Linked DNA regions of Macaca mulatta. The protein of the gene in region 1 interacts with the protein of each later gene in a biochemical or structural test. Links are inferred from orthologs where the notes say so. Each region holds a gene or a part of one and is shown in the gene's direction. Other genes may lie near its edges. The genes, in order: SMAD1, SMURF2 and ACVRL1.

Region 1 (4,641 bases):
ATTAATAATTATTGCCTCTGAGTCACTAAAAGAGTGATAATATTTTCTACCTCTTTATATTTTGATTTACTTTCTGATTTTTCAGGATGAAAATTTGTCATTTTTATCAGGAAAAATTAGTAGCACACACACTCTTAAATTGTTTTATCTACATCAGGCCAAACAAATGGGCTTCTGTTCCAGCAGCTATTTAATTGTTACAGAAATCCTAACTGTTGTGTATACATATAAACACAACATGTAACATTTTCTATGAGACACAGTATAGCCTTGACTAAGCCATACCAGAGTTACCTACAAAGTGGATCATTTAAACCCACATAGGATCTAACGCTGCTGGGGGACCTATATAAAGTCATCTCCCACAGTGGTGTGGGGCTTTGTGAGAATGAGTTTTTTACCCCTACTTTCCTTTTTTTAAAGGCAGGGTAAGACCAATTTGCTACACTTTAAGCAGTCTGGGTCTCAAAGGAAGAAGTTCGGAGCAGGTGATAGTTTAGTGAGATCTAATTTTACATACACCGTATGACTTTTCTAGTTTCATTTTCATGGTTTTTTTTACTGGATCTCATATCTTACAGCTCTTGGCAATACTTCTTCCACCTGTGACTTTACAGTTCCTCTCTTCTCTTTCTCCTCTCTTCCCTTTCTAAAATTTTCCAAACATCTTAGCTGTACAATAAATGCAAAAGTGCTTTATAGTAAATACATAGCATCCAGGTTTTATTATGTTGTATTTTTAGAGTGCAAATATACTTTCCATGTCTGGCCAAGTAGGACATTAATTACTTACCAAAATGAAATCGCTTCATTTTGTTGTTGTTGTTGTTGTTATTTGAGACAGGGTCTCACTCTGTCACCCAATCTGGAGTGCAGTGGCTTGATCACAGCTCACTGCAGCCTTGACCTCCTTGCCTCATGCAATCCTGCCACCTCAGCCTCTGTGTAATTGGGACTACAGGTGTGCACCACTGTGCCTAGCTGATGTTTTTTCTTTTTTTTCTTTCTTTTTTTTTTTTTGGTGGAGATGGGGTTTCGCCATGCTGCCCAGGCTAGTCTTGAACTCCTGAACTCAAGCAATCTGTCCACCTTGGCTTCCCAAAGTGCCGAGATTACAGGTCTGAACCACTGTGCCTGGCCTATTAGTATTTTTTTAAACATTTTGTTATTTTTCTAGAAACCTCCTAGATACTGTGTTAACTAATACAGTTAACTAAGATTTTATCAATCATACATCAGCCATCCCCAATCTTTTGGCACCAGGGACCGATTTCATGGAAGACAATTTTTCCACAGGGGATGGGGAAGGGATAGTTTCAGGATGAAACTGTTCCACTCAGATCATCAGGCATTAGATTCTCATAAGGAGCACGCAACCTAGATCCCTCACATGCACAGTTCACAATAGGGTTCATGCTTCTATGAGCATCTAATGCTGCCACTGATCTGACAGGAGGAGGAGCTCGGACTGTAATGCTTGCTCACTCACCTCCTGCTGTGTAACAGGCCACGGACTGATACAGGTCCATGGCCTCGGGGGTTGGGGACCCCTGTTGTACAGGACTTAGAGAATAGCTATCTAACTAGCCGAAGTTTAAATCCATGTAAATTTAAGTTTCTGTGTTGAAGCTGCACAGGTGCCTTTGAGCTATAAAAATTAATAATAACTAAATTATATGCTTTGTCTTCCAATAGGAGTTCATCTTTATTATGTTGGAGGGGAGGTATATGCCGAATGCCTTAGTGACAGTAGCATCTTTGTGCAAAGTCGGAACTGCAACTACCATCATGGATTTCATCCTACTACTGTTTGCAAGATCCCTAGTGGGTGTAGTCTGAAAATTTTTAACAACCAAGAATTTGCTCAGTTATTGGCACAGTCTGTGAACCATGGATTTGAGACAGTCTATGAGCTTACAAAAATGTGTACTATACGTATGAGCTTTGTGAAGGTAAGTGAACTCTGACTCCTCCATTTAGGGTCTAACATACTTTTGCTGTGCTTTTTTTTTTTTTTGGCAATATGTGAATCTATATCTTCTTGATAATATGTTTATATTAGCTGACTTATTATCTAGGCATTTTTAAACTGTAACAAGAGTGTCAATTATTAGGAAAATATCATAGGAACATAGGAGTACTTGTATTAAATATCAATAGCTGTGGGTTTTAATAGCCTTTTCCTTATTCAGATAGCACCGCTTTAGCTATTGTATTACCAGTAGAATATGTTATGTTACATATTTAAAATATAATTTAAATACATGGTTGTTTTACAAGATCAGTTGAGTAAACATATCTTCCTTACTTTTCGTTCTTTGTTTTTAGTACTTTTATGATGGTAATGCTTGTTTTTGTTTCAAGAGTAAGGAAGTGATCTTTTTGTAAAAATTAAAGTTCATCACATTGGAAATTGTGTTTGGTCAGGTTTTTTTAGTGGTTTCAGTAAGCCTCATGATTTTCTTAACAATTCAAAAGTTAATAAGGCCCTTGCCCAAGATAAATAGATGCCTTAGCTCAAAGATTGCATTGTAAGGTTTGATGAGGGAGAAGGTTAAACACATTGCTCATAATAATTGATCTTTTTGCTGTCTCATCTTCTGCCTCTGAGAAATAAAAATTTTTAGGATGCCATTGAAATCTAAAAAACCTTAAATGTCTGATTAGATTTCATGAGTCAGTGACTTATTCTAGTAACTGACCTGTCTCTGAATTCTCAAAAATAAGTTTCATCCTCTTGTACTTTGAGAAACAGAACTAATTATATATTTGAGTGAGGCAATTACCTTTTATGTCTTCTGTTCAGAAGCTCACAAAACTTGTTGTTAAACCTGTTTTGTAATGTATTTATTACTGAGGATAATTTTGGAGCCTTACTTGTTAATCATCCCTTAGATCAAAGATACCTTTTCCTGAATATAATTACTTTTCCTACTTATTTAAAGCATCTTAGATTTTCAGTGTGTTCCCTTAGTGTTTGTTTTTGTTTGTTTGCTTGCTTGCTTCCTTTTTGCAGTGTACTTCAACAGTTATTTGTAGCTGAGTCTGGTACCTTGTTAGTATTAAGAAATTTTTTTTACACTTTGAAGAGGTTGACCTATATGCTATGTACATATGGGGCTACAAAGACCTATCTTATTCATTATTAACATGTGCTGTTTAATTTTTGACTTAGCATTTGGCTCAAATGGTTTTTAAAATTAGAACAGTGACCTGCCAGAAGTGTTTTCGTTTATTGTTTTTATTGGTATGGAGGAAAGAACAACTCTTGAGAGTCGAGGTGCAGTTTCCAGTTTTTTCCTGCCATTTTAACTGTGTGATTAAGGCAGATTTCTTCTCTGGTTCTCATCTTTATTATCTTTGAAATGGGGGTGGATGGAGTTGAGAACTGTGGTAATTATTATTAAGGTCCCTTAGTGAGTCTATTATTGAAGGACCACTCTAGGAGAATTTATGACTTTAATGTTCCAATTAGCTTCCTGCTCAAACTCATTTCTTATTGTTTATCCAATCAATGTTCATTATTTTACTTTTGTACAGTTTTAATAATTTACTTTTACACAAGTAAAAACTTTTACACTAATAAAAGTATTTATAATGCAAAGTTATGCATTCAAAATTTATTAGATTTTATTCGTTCAGCAGATATTTTAGCACTATTTCAGAGAAGTAATACAAAGATGAAAAAGCACCTAAAGTCTCTATTATCAAGATCCTTATGCTCTAGTATATCTTTAATTATAATCTGATAAGCACTAGAATGGAGAATTATACAAGATATAATGAACTTAGCCTGGAAGTTGGATTTAGAGAGCCGAAGGTAAATAATATTTAAAAATCCTGCTGAATGTTAAAGAGAAACTGTTTATCATATATTAGCAACAAAAAATGTGCACACTGTTTTTACAGAACTGTTCTTTATTATATGGACTGCACACTTTATCCTCTCCCACTCAACATTTTAAAGAAATTGTAACAGAACATTTTACTAACAGTAGCCAATCTTGAGCTGTTTTCAAAATGATTTTTGGATGTTAACATAAAACATATTTTATAAATTATTTGTACTTTAAACTCTATGTCTGAAAAGTCCAAGTCAGCTCAGCTGAACACATATTTATAGAGCTTCTGCCTTCTGTCGTTATGCTATATATCGGAGGTAAAGATAAATTCCTGCCTTCAAAGATGTTGATATCTGATGGAGGAAACCTGCACATAAGCCTGTAAATTAAATTTAGGAGTTTGTTTATATTTACAAACGCATGAGTGTACGTACATCTATGTAGATACATATATCTATATAGATGTAGTTTATACAAGTTTTGATGTTCGGATACATTTCCTTTTCTTTCTTTCTTTTTTTTTTTTTTTTTTAAGACAGAGTCTTGCTCTGTCGCCCAGTCTGGAGTGCAATGGTGTGATCTCGGCTCACTACAACCTCCGCCTCCCAGGTTCAAGCAATTCTCCTGCCTCAGGCTCCCGAGTAACTGGGATTACAGGCGTGTGCCACAGCACCCGGCTAATTTCTGTATTTTTAGTAGAGTCAGAGTTTCGCCATGTTGGCCAGGCTGGTCTCAAACTCCTGACCTCTAGTGATCCACCTGCCTGAGACAGAGTCTTGCTCTGTCACCCAGGCCGGAG
Region 2 (5,595 bases), on another chromosome or scaffold:
GGTTGGGAACAAAGCGTGTGCCATAAAAATAAGGCAAATGTGAATGTGTACATCAGTTTGCTAAGTTTTTTGTCACTGGCCTCTTAAATTGTGGTAGCAGCTATCGTTCACGTTGATTTCTATATGTTTGTAGTACAAGGAAGCATTTCTAAAGGACCTTGTTCATTGCTTTGCACAAAATGACCACTTAATATTTGTTGAATGATTTGCTGGCACTATCTCTGGTATTTTTATTTTTATTTATTTATGTATTTATTTTTGATATGGAGTCTCGCTCTGTCACCCAGGCTGAAGTGCAGTGGTGTGATCTCGGCTCACTGCAACCTCCCATGTTCAAGCGATTCTTGTGCCTCAGCCTTCCTAATTGCTGAGACCACAGGCATGCACCACCACGCCTGGCTAATTTTTATATATATATTTTTTAGTACAGACAGGAGTTCACCATGTTGGCCAGGCTGGTCTCGAACTCCTGACCTCAAATTATCCGCCCTCCTGGGCCTCCCAAAGTGTTGGAATTACAGGCATGAGCCACTGTGACCGGTCTATCTGTGGTATTTTTAGTGTGATATCTAGAACTTCATATACTTTTTTGGATTACTTTTAATTGTATATCTGTATCCAAACTGATGAAATGCTCTTAGAGGTAACTATCTGGAGAAGTGACTCCACTGATGCATTAAAAGAAATAACCGGCATGGAATAAGGATTAAAATATATTAATCCAAAACATTTAAAATTGCATTAATGTTATAATAGCCTAAAGCAAAACTAAGGAATCACATAAAAAATCCCCCACGCTGTTGTCAGTAGTTTACATTGTGCTAGATATTTTCACATGTATATGCATACAACTTCTATTCTGCTTTTAAACTTTGCATTACATATACATTCTTCCATAGTATATGATCTTCATAAAAATAGTTATATGGCTGCATAAAAAACCATGCGGTTCCTGGACCATTATGCTGTTCCCTCATTCCCCTTTTGGTATTAATGGAATATAACAAAGAACATCTTCTGTACGATTATTTGTCAAGAATAGGGCCAGTGAGGTGGCTCAGGTCTGTAATCCCAGCACTTTGGGAGGCCGAGGCGGGCGGATCGCTTGACGTCAGGAGTTCGTGACCAGCCTGGGCAACATGGGAAAACCTAAATGTCTCTTCTAAACATGTCTCTACTAAAAATACAAAAATTAGTGGGGCGTAGCGGTGCACACTTTTGGTCCCAGCTAGTCCAGAGGCTCAGGTGGGAGGATCACCTGAACCCGGGAAGTTGAGACTGCGGGGAGCCGTGATCGCACCACTGTAGTCCAGCCTGGATGACAGAGGGAGACCCTGTCCAAAAAAAGAAAAAATATTTCTAGCAGTACAGTTACAAGGTCAAAGGATAAGGCGCACATTTTTTTTTAAAAATTTCTCCTCCTGAGATAACGAAATACAGTAGTGTATTAACAACTCTTCACACATTACTCTCCAAGGTTTATCTTGTTAATCCTTTAAGACGTATCATCTCCCCATCCTTGGCTGCACCTGAAAAGAGCGGGAGTCGGCAGGTAACCCTATCTCCTCCACCAGGTGAGTTCCGGATGGAGGTGTCAACTACAAGACTAGGAGCAGAGCACTCCTGGGGTTTTGCTGGAACCATCGGCGTGGGAATGCGGTCTCTTCCCTCGTCCGAAAGACGCTAAGTTCCCGGGAGGCAGCGGACTCGGTTCTAACCTTCCTCGCCCCAGTCTCTAGGAGCGCCCTGCACGCAGTGGGCGTCTAATAAATGCAGTCGGCGCTGTTGGGACAAAAGCTCTCCCTTAAGTGGACCGGACACTAAATCCCTCCAGGTGTCACAGAGCTGCCGCGCCCGCCGCCACTTTGCTCCCTGCCTGCTCCCTCCCCGCGTTCCTCGTGGGACCCTCCGCGGCAACTTACACCCTTTCTGACAGCCGGTGCCCGCCCGGGGCACCCTGCGCGCGCCCGACGACCCCGCCCTGGCCCCGCCCCGCCCCGCTGGCCCCGCCCCGCCCGCCGGCCCCGCCTCCCGTCTCCTCCCCGCCCCCTGGAGCAGACGAGTGGCGGCGGCGGCCCGAGGTCCCGGGTCCCTCAGACAAGAGGGCGGGTGGAGGAGGAAGCGGCCGAGCCCAGAGTCCTGGTCCGGCGTCGCCGAGCACCGCCCGCCTCAGCCGACCAGCCCCGTCGGCTACTGGGCCTCGCCGAGACGAGAGGAAGGAAAGGCCGCTGCGCCCGCGAGGAGGCGGCGGGGGCGCGGGCGGAGGCGGCGCGGGCGGCCGCGGCTGCCGCTTTGTTGTGCGGCCCGGGCCGAGGAAGGAGAAGTGGGAGGAGGGGGGAGCTCGGCGTCCCGCTCCCTCCGCGGCTCATGGCGACGACGCTCGGCACATCCGGGACCCTCCGGCCGTGGCGGCCGCGGCGCCGGCTGCTCGGGCCCCAGCCCCGGCCGCTGTGGTGACTCCGCCGCGCCTCGCCGTCGCCCCCGTCCCCGTCCCGCCCGCCGCCCCCGCCGCCGGGGACATGTCTAACCCCGGAGGCCGGAGGAACGGGCCCGTCAAGCTGCGCCTGACAGGTGAGGGGGGGCGGCGGGCCGGGCTGGGCAGCCGCGGGGTGGGCGAGCTGGCGGGGGGTGCCTGTGGCCTTAGGAAGGGCCAGGGTCGCGATCAATGGTGAGTTGGGGGTCGGAGGAGTGGGAAGGCCTAGTTCAGGGAGAGTAATTGGAAAACCACTTGCTACGGCTTGGGCATTCTTTAAAAAGCCGAGGATGACTCGGGGCGGGGGGTGGGGGTGGTCTTTTGTGGAGGGGAGGATACACCGGTTCGCATCGCAGGCGGATTTCAGGTCGGAAAGTCTTGGTCAAGGAGCCCGACGCTGCCTCCCGGGTCTCGGGGAGCAGCCCCTGGGCTACCGCCCAGGTGGGATCGTGAAGGGGATGAAGAGCTCCCGTGGCGAGGATTATTGAATCCGGTTGCTGACTGCGCGCAGTAAACACTCCTTAAAGATGGAGCGCTTAACGGGAGGGTGTGCGTGTGTGTTCCCGGGTTGTTACCTTGCACACCCACTTATGCCCGCATGAAAAACCTTTACTCCCCGCCGCCGGCCACCGCTGCCGGGGCCACACACCTTGAACTCACGTCTCTCTGAGGAGAGGAGACAGGTTGACTTTTCCGGTGTGCCTGTCTGATCCGACGGCTCGGGCTCATTGTACACTGTGTTTTGGAAGTGTCTGATTGTAGGGTGGCATGTTTGGGGTTGTTCCTTGTAGGCCGCAGAACTCGTGTCTCACTTCTAACTCCCGACCTGCTTTAAAAACACACTTTTTTGGGGGGAGGGAGGGGGTACATTTCTAAGTATGTCCTCATACAAACTTTAGAGCAAACTTTCTGTTACTCTCCCCACCCTCCCCCTTCCTTTTTCTAAATGGAAAAGTATGTCCGGAGGGGTTGTCAGATAGAAGACTACACTTACAAAGTGTTTATGATTCCAGGTGCATGAAATCTTTAATATTACAGGTACGTTTTACTTACAGTGCCATTTTTGGTATTCTTACATGGACATGCCACCCCCGTTTTAGGAGCACTTGTATTTGGTTTGAAAAGGAATTGAAATCACGTCGTTATCCTACCTTCACCATTTACCCCTGATAAATTGTCCACGTTTATATTCGGGTGAGTGGTGAGAAAGATAATTTTCCGTAGAGGATTTGTGTGTGCGTGCACGTGTACGAATCAACTGTAATTATGTTTGCCCACACTAGACTTTGAGATTTATTTGGACTAATTTTGTAGTTGAATGCTTATGTGACACATCTCAGTCCACTGGCTGAACTTGCTGGGTGAAACCTTGCAGTGAATTTGGTATTTGAGAATTTAGCTTGAATGTATGTTGGCTGCAATTTAAATAATATATTACCTTCATGACAGTTTTCCTTTCCCTAGGGAAAATTGCAAGGAATCATTAACTGAGTGGTTCTTAATGAAAAACCTGGATTGCAGGATACTTGTATTCCCACTTCTCCCCCGCTGTCCCCCATTCAGTGTCCTTATATTGGGAGGAGACAATGGAAACCTTTATAGGGGATCTTTGTTGCTTTCGAGTTTATCTGTTGCTGTTGCTATCTGGAGTCAGTGATCGTGGAAAGAACATGTGATCCCAGGTGTGCAGAAAGCATCAGAAATTGGCTGTTTCCATTTACTTTCCTCTGGGCTATATAGATGAGGGAAAAAATAGGGATTTTGATTTTCTTCAAATAAAGTTAGTTGAGGTTTTTAGTATGACTCAGTAGATCTTAAAGTGTTTATCTGTGGTTTCCGTACTACCTATGATACGTTATAAAAATTTATAATTAAAGTTTGTTAAGAGGAAAGATTATGCTTATATTTTAGGGGAAGAGGGAATATTGCACTACATTTATAGTGATTTTGTTTCAGGTTTTTCTGAGGAGTTTTAAATACCCTGTGTCCTCTTAATAGTAAAAACAGTTTGAGGTACTCTGAGTTTCTTACAACTATTTGTCTCTGAATCGTTTTCTCTCAAAATTTGACAAATATTAAAAACATTGTCCTTCCTTCTTTGGTTACAGTGGAGTCTCTTCTGTTTTGCCAGGAAAGTTAACATTTTTTTTTTCCATTTTTGTTCATCATTTACAAATTAGATGGTATAGATTTTAGCAAATAGATCTCAAGAGCTGGATTCAATTAGCAGCTTTTTAGGACATAAACATTAAAGGGTTAGATGGAAAAGATTGTTTTGACTGACTGGATAAATGACGGGGCTGTGTTTGATGTGCGTCCAGGAATTGGTCTGGAGCTGGTGCCCAACTTCTCAGTCCATCTTGAGAAGCCAAATAAAATATTTAACCTAGGCCTCATTTTGTTTAAAAAAAAAGTTGATTCTTTGTTAAGACCTTAAGAAATGTTTGGCGTACCTTTAGACTAAGTGTTTAACAGTTCATTTAGATCTGGGTTCCCTAATAGAGGAAAAAAAATCACTTAAAAAAAGACAGATCTCACAGTGAATTTATATTTGGTTTACAATACCCTTGGGCTATAAGGTGTTTTAAAATTATTATTCTTTGCTTTAAGTTAATACCATATTAGTATTTTAAATTTATAGAGTACCTTTGATTTCAAGATGTTGTATAAACTTTAGTTAGTTGATAATAACCTTATTGTGGAATTGCCCCTTTACTGAAAGGTATAAACATTTCTTACATGGTGACGCGCGCACACACTCACATACACTCACACATACACACACTCACACACTCACTCATACACACACTCTCTTTCTGAACAAGAGGAAATATTTGAACCATGAGATCTCTGCCCACAATTGATATTAGACCTTTCCACATATTATTCTTAAAACCACCATCAGTGAACTGTTTGGTATTTGTCAATGCTAAGAAGGTGGGGCTAATTTAATAATTTGATCCCAAATTTTAGATTCCTCAGGCAACTGGGGGTTAGAATCCGATTTCATCCATCAAGCTACTTCTGTTCTTTTTTTTTTTTTTTTTTTTGAGACGGAGTCTCGCTCTGTCACCCAGGCTGGAGTGCAGTGGCCGGATCTCAGCTCACTGCAAGCTCCGCCC
Region 3 (5,595 bases), on another chromosome or scaffold:
GCAGACCTGAGATCATGCCACTGCACTCCAGCCTGGGCAACACTGCGAGACTCCCTCCCAAAAAAAAAGAAAAGAAAAAGAATGATGCTTGAACTTAATACTCATAGCAGGTCCTGCAAGGTGAAGGTGTCCATTGCCCTGCCTTCCTGACAGACTCCATGTCACCCGCCTTCCACAGATGAGAATCTCCTCGAGGTTTCACCCCACACAGAATCTTCAGGCCTCTGCTTCCTGCACTGTTGGGAAATCCTTCTGACTATCTAAATTGTCCTTTGGGCCTGTTTCCTCTTGTTCTGTCCTCACTGAATATGGGGAACAGCTGGTCCCTCTGAGTAATTAATTCTTGCAGACTTGGACACAGTCTGTAATTCCTTTTCCCTTTTCTCATTGGGATGACTCTCTAGGGCTTTCTCCAACTCTGGATCTCCAACTCTGACACCTCCCCCAGGTTCTCTGTGTGCTTTGGAAGGCATGGGGTTCACAAGAGCCCCAAAGAGCACTAGTCAGGGGCCAGAGGGCTCAGTGCTCCGGGGACAGGGGGAAGACTCCAGCACTGATGAACAGACCCCAGCCCCCCTGGGTCTTCTCTTCCAACTCCCAAAATGTACTCTATTTTTATCCGTTTCACAAACTCTGCAGATAGTCTTCCATCCCTCGCTGACTGTCAGAAGTGACTCTCAGCTCTCGTCCATCTTGAAGTCTCTGTGCTCAGTGTGCCTCTCAGACCGAAGGCTTCCCTTGGGAAGCCCCCACTCTCGCTTCTCAAGACAGAGATCTGGGGGTTGGGGGAGGAAAAGGTTGACCAGAAGCCATAGCAGAGCAGGGAGAGACAGTGTGAAAGACAGACCTGCAGCCAGGCTCCCAGTTCTCCAGCTCATAGAGAGCCCAAGTGGCCGCTATAATCTGAAAGAGCAGATATCGTAATCCCATAGTACTTCCTATTGGCTGCAGGACACAGTTCTGTCCTGACACTGAAATTTGGGTGTGTCAGGGTTCTGGGAATTCACGACGCTCACAACTTGTGAAGCAGCTGCAGGGTGGGGGATGGGGAGGGTTTCAGCAGAGGAAGTGAGGTCAGTCAATAATTGATGCCTGTCTGAGCTTTTAGCCATTATCTCCCCCAGCCTCTATTCCTGTCAAAAGGCGGGGCGGGGCGGGGGGAGGGGTCCCTGGCTCATCTTGTAGAATCCCCATATTAGAGTAAGACACCTTAGAGGTCTACTCCTGCTTCTAATACCCACGTCTTTCCAAGTGTCTCTGAGGCCACCCCCTCCCCAGCCTTTTCATTTATTCATTTAATTAACAAACGCCTTCATTGAGGGCCTCCTCTGAGTCAGGCTCAGCCAGCCAGCATCTTTGCTATGAGCTGAGATAAGCATCATTTCCTTCTATTCTCACAACCACCCTATGAGGCTGGCACCGTTTACTATGCCTATTTAGCAGATGGGGGACTGAAGCATGGAGAGGTGTCACTAGCCTACGGTAACACAACCAGCCTGCCTTCCTAGTAGGTAGTTTGACTTCAGAGTCTCTGTGGATAACCAGGAGGCTAGGACTAAGACCAGAGTCCTGCAGGTAGTCAGGTGGTTGGAGCAAAGCAGGGCAGTGAGGTCAGTGCTCCCAGCCTGTGCAGGCGCACCAGGAAGAGTCTGTGTGCCCCTCCGCTGCCTATGTGAAGCCATTCTGCTTCCCTCCCCAGCTGCCTTGTGTCAGCAGTGTTCCAGGGAGGCTCCCTTCCCCACCTCTATTTAAAGTTCCATTTGCTGGGGTGGGGGCCCTGCCTGGAAGGGGAAGGTCCAAGGCAGCTCCCATCGTGTCCCTCCATGCTGACCGTCCCTGGAGGGGCGGGGGTGTCTTTGTCACCCAGCTGCACAGCGGCCAGGAAGGGCTCAAACCATCCTCAGGGCTAACCCAAGGCTGTCCCTCTGGGCCTGTATACCCCTGTGCTGAGTGCGGATGGGGAGAGGCTGCTGAAGAGAGGATGGGACAAATGAGGGATGAAGGGGCCCGAGGGAGGGGACTGAAGGATTTGGGCCAAGTCGGGAGTTCCCGAGGGCGGAGCCAAAACGCATCTGGACTTTTGCTAGCCCCAAACTCTGCCCTCACTGCTCCAAGCCTCCTAGACCGAGGACCCCGGGCTGAGGGTGGGGTAAGGATAGGTAGTGTCCCTCCCCGTCTCACCCCCGCCTGTCCCTTCCTTGGTGGCCCCTTCCCAGCGCCCAGATCCCAGGCGGCCCCTCCGATGCTGCCAGCCATCCCCCTCTACCCCCACCCACTGCTCCGGCCGCCAGACATTGCCTACAGTTTCGCCTCTGTCTCCCACGGCTATGGGTCCAGACCCCACGGGACCCCTATGGGACCCCCACAGGACCCCCACAGCCCGAGTCAAAGGCCCGCCCCCTCGGGGAGGCGGATGTGGGAGGTCCGGCCCGGGTGCTGGCCAGCGATCCGGGAGCTGCGGGCTGCTGGTAGGGGAGGCCCCCTGAGGGGCTGGGAGCGGCGCGGGGGAGGGTCCCGGTCCTGCAGCCCCAGCGAGGGGCGAGCGGCGGCCAGTCGGCGAGCTGGGCAATAAGGAAACGGTTTATTAGGAGGGAGTGGTGGAGCTGGGCCAGGCAGGAAGACGCTGGAATAAGAAACATTTTTGCTCCAGCCCCCATCCCAGTCCCGGGAGGCCGCTGCGCCAACCGCGCCGAGCGAGCCCCTCCCCGGCTCCAGCCCGGTCCGAGGCCGCGCCCGGACCCCAGCCCGCAGTCCAGCGCTCGCGGTGCAACCGCGGCCGCGCGGTGGAGGGGAGGTGGCCCCGGCCCACCGAAGGCTCGCGCCCCGCCACCCGCAGAGCGGGCCCAGAGGTGAGTCGACGTCCGCGGACGGGACCGGGTGGCGGGCGGCCTGACCCCCGCATCAGTGGGCCGTTCCTTCGGGCGGACCCCAGAGTCACCGCAGAGTGGTCGTGGTAGGCTCAATCCCAGCTCATTAGAAACGCAAGCTGCCCCTGGCTGACCCCGCACAGCTTACCCATGACCCTACCTGAGAGGAGGGGACTGGACGAGACCCGACTGGAAATCAGAAACTTGGCTCTAAGTCAGTGACTTCACTTCTCTGTTCTACCCTCTTCATAAAATGGGCAGTGGGATTCTTGTCTTGCTCTACTCACATAGAAGGGATCACACGTCCTCCAGGCCGCTGTGTGGACCTGGAGTGAATGTCCACTTCCACAGCTGTTGAGACTCCCCGCAGAGCTCACCTTTCCCAGACCAGTCCTTCCAGTTGTTGCTTGAGGAATCTGACACTATCATTCCAACCAAGGAGCCTCACCCCCAGCCTCGCATGGTCAGTCATCTCCGTTCCACGACCTTCCTTCAGGACCCAGGCCAAAGGGGATCCCAGTCTCCCTCCAGGCTGGGACCCCAGATTTTCCATCTGCCCTGGAGGCCAGTGCTGTGAAACCCACGGCTGAGCTGGCTGCCCCAGCTCCTCTTTCCTTCTCCAAGGACAGGGGTATAATGGACAGTTGCTCTCACCCTCTCTACCAGCTTCTGGCTGAGTCAGGGTCGGTCCTCATACCTGTTCTCTCACCTGTCCTCCCATTTCATTGGTTTGTTAGAAATAGCTACCATTTATTGAGTACTAACTATGTAGACACTTAGATACATTTTTTTCTCATGTAATCCTGGTCACAACCTAGTGGAAGAGGGGTTACTATGTCCATCCTACAGAAAAGGAAACAGACATGAATAACTTGTCCAAAACTCCTTGGATGGTGGGGTAAATGGCATGGTTGGGGTCTTGATAACATTTAAGTGCTTACTGTATACTACTTATACTCTGCTAAATAATTTTGCTACATTTTACCTATGAGATAACACTATTATTCCCACTTTACATATGATGGGAAGCCTAAGCCTCAGAAAGTTTAAGTAACTTGTTTCAAATCTCATGCCTCTAAGAGGCAAAGGCAGGATTTGAACCCAGGTCTCCATGCTCCTGAGCCCACACCCTAACCTCTGTGCTACTCTGTGCTGCCTCCATGGTCTGCCTGAGACCTGAAAATCCAGGCTTGTTCCGCTGCATCACCCCGCTGTGAGGGGCTAATAAATCACGTGGATGAATCGTAGGGGCAACCCAATATGAACAGCTGGGTCTGGTCCTCTGCTGTTGGGGTAAGGCCTACTGAAGTGCAGAGTGAGTCCAGAAGGTTGTGCTTGAGATGGTGCTTCTCCAGCCCTGTGACAATCACGGCTGTGCTGAGCCACTGCCGTTGATGGGAGTGGGTTTTATCAATCCTTCAGGTGTGCTGGGGAGAAAAAGATTGATAAGCACCTTTGGGGCATACCACTACTCTGGCTCTCCCCACGGAAGGCTCAGACTTTGACTACGCCTATGGCAAACTGATGATTTCTGGGCAGCAACACTGTTGCCTGGGGCAACATAGTGAGACCCTATCTCTACTAAAAATAAAACTGGGCATGGTGCTGCACCCCCCTGTAGTCCCAGCCACTTGGGAGGCTGAGGTGGGAGGATCACTTGAGCTCAGGAGTTCAAGGTTACAGTGAGCTATGATTGCACCACCGCACTTCAGCCTGGGCAACTGAGCAAGACCCTGTCTCAAAAAAAATTAAAAACAAACAAAAACGCTGTCTGCATTTAAACAAATCTGAGTAGGGCACCCGTTAATAACAACAGCAGTGGGCAATTTGTTCATGTCCACCGAGACCCATGTCTTTTTCTTCCTTTGAGGAACTCATCTAACCCCAAACAATTGGAGGAATAACAACGACCAAGGAAGGATTTATTATCAGCAATTTAAGTTTATTAAGACACACTCAGTGACTATGGACAGGAAACCTAACATCTCTGAACCTCACTTTCCCCCATTGGACTGTTGTGATGATTAAATCAGATAAACCATTCAAGTTCAGTACTTAGCACATAATTAGTACTCAGAGAAGGTTAACTGTTATTATTACTTCATAGTGTTTAGCTAACGTTTGAATTTAGTTTAACGTTTGTAATTTCTGGCCAACAATAGTGATGCTTCTGTCAGCAGGAGATCTTTCACAAAGTTTTGCTTAGAAGTGAAAGGATCCTGCCAGGCCCCAGGAGTCTGTTTGTGCTACAGTCAGATTTTAGGGCAAATTGTAAAGAGTCAGCTCTGAGTTTGAACTGGTCAGGACTCAGCACCCTTCTGTTCTTGACCTCACACTGGGTCCAGTTAAAAATTGGACAGTCCCAATTTTACTCCATCACATTCCCAGGATTAGACCAAAGATGGGTTCTGCAGATGCAGACAGGCCTCGCTCCACAGTGTCACCAAGTCCCGGCTTTGGTGTTTACCCTTGGCTGTCCCTTCTCTAGTAGATGGGGAGGGTCCTGGGTGGGAGTGAGTGTCCCCTCCCTCTGCGTCCCACTCCCACTCACCCAGCAGGGCCCTGTACAGCAAAATGAAAGCAGAGGAACCAGACTTAGCATTGTGCAGGACCCATTTCTCAAAGAGTGGTGCCCACACAAACTGATCAGAACTCCCTGGGAAACTTTTAAAAAATGCATGTTTCTTGCTGATTCCAGGACTGAATCAGAGTCTGTAGTGAGGGTGAA

What was found.
Region 2: the proteins of SMAD1 (region 1) and SMURF2 form a complex in vitro, tested with the Homo sapiens proteins (2 studies listed by BioGRID and IntAct, with this or other methods). The link is inferred for Macaca mulatta from reciprocal best matches to the Homo sapiens genes SMAD1 and SMURF2.
Region 3: of the proteins of SMAD1 (region 1) and ACVRL1, one has a biochemical effect on the other in vitro, tested with the Homo sapiens proteins (2 studies listed by BioGRID). The link is inferred for Macaca mulatta from reciprocal best matches to the Homo sapiens genes SMAD1 and ACVRL1.

What each region holds. Positions count from the first base shown.
Region 1 is NC_133410.1:154,124,518-154,129,158, forward strand, and holds part of SMAD1 (mothers against decapentaplegic homolog 1), read left to right. Parts: intron 1-1,695; coding exon 1,696-1,952; intron 1,953-4,641. UniProt on the Homo sapiens protein: Transcriptional modulator that plays a role in various cellular processes, including embryonic development, cell differentiation, and tissue homeostasis.
Region 2 is NC_133421.1:74,558,598-74,564,192, reverse strand, and holds the start of SMURF2 (E3 ubiquitin-protein ligase SMURF2), read left to right. Parts: upstream 1-2,056; 5' UTR 2,057-2,519; coding exon 2,520-2,571; intron 2,572-5,595. UniProt on the Homo sapiens protein: E3 ubiquitin-protein ligase which accepts ubiquitin from an E2 ubiquitin-conjugating enzyme in the form of a thioester and then directly transfers the ubiquitin to targeted substrates.
Region 3 is NC_133416.1:59,087,635-59,093,229, forward strand, and holds the start of ACVRL1 (activin receptor type-1-like), read left to right. Parts: upstream 1-2,226; 5' UTR 2,227-2,327; coding exon 2,328-2,468; intron 2,469-2,650; coding exon 2,651-2,849; intron 2,850-5,595. UniProt on the Homo sapiens protein: Type I receptor for TGF-beta family ligands BMP9/GDF2 and BMP10 and important regulator of normal blood vessel development. On ligand binding, forms a receptor complex consisting of two type II and two type I transmembrane serine/threonine kinases.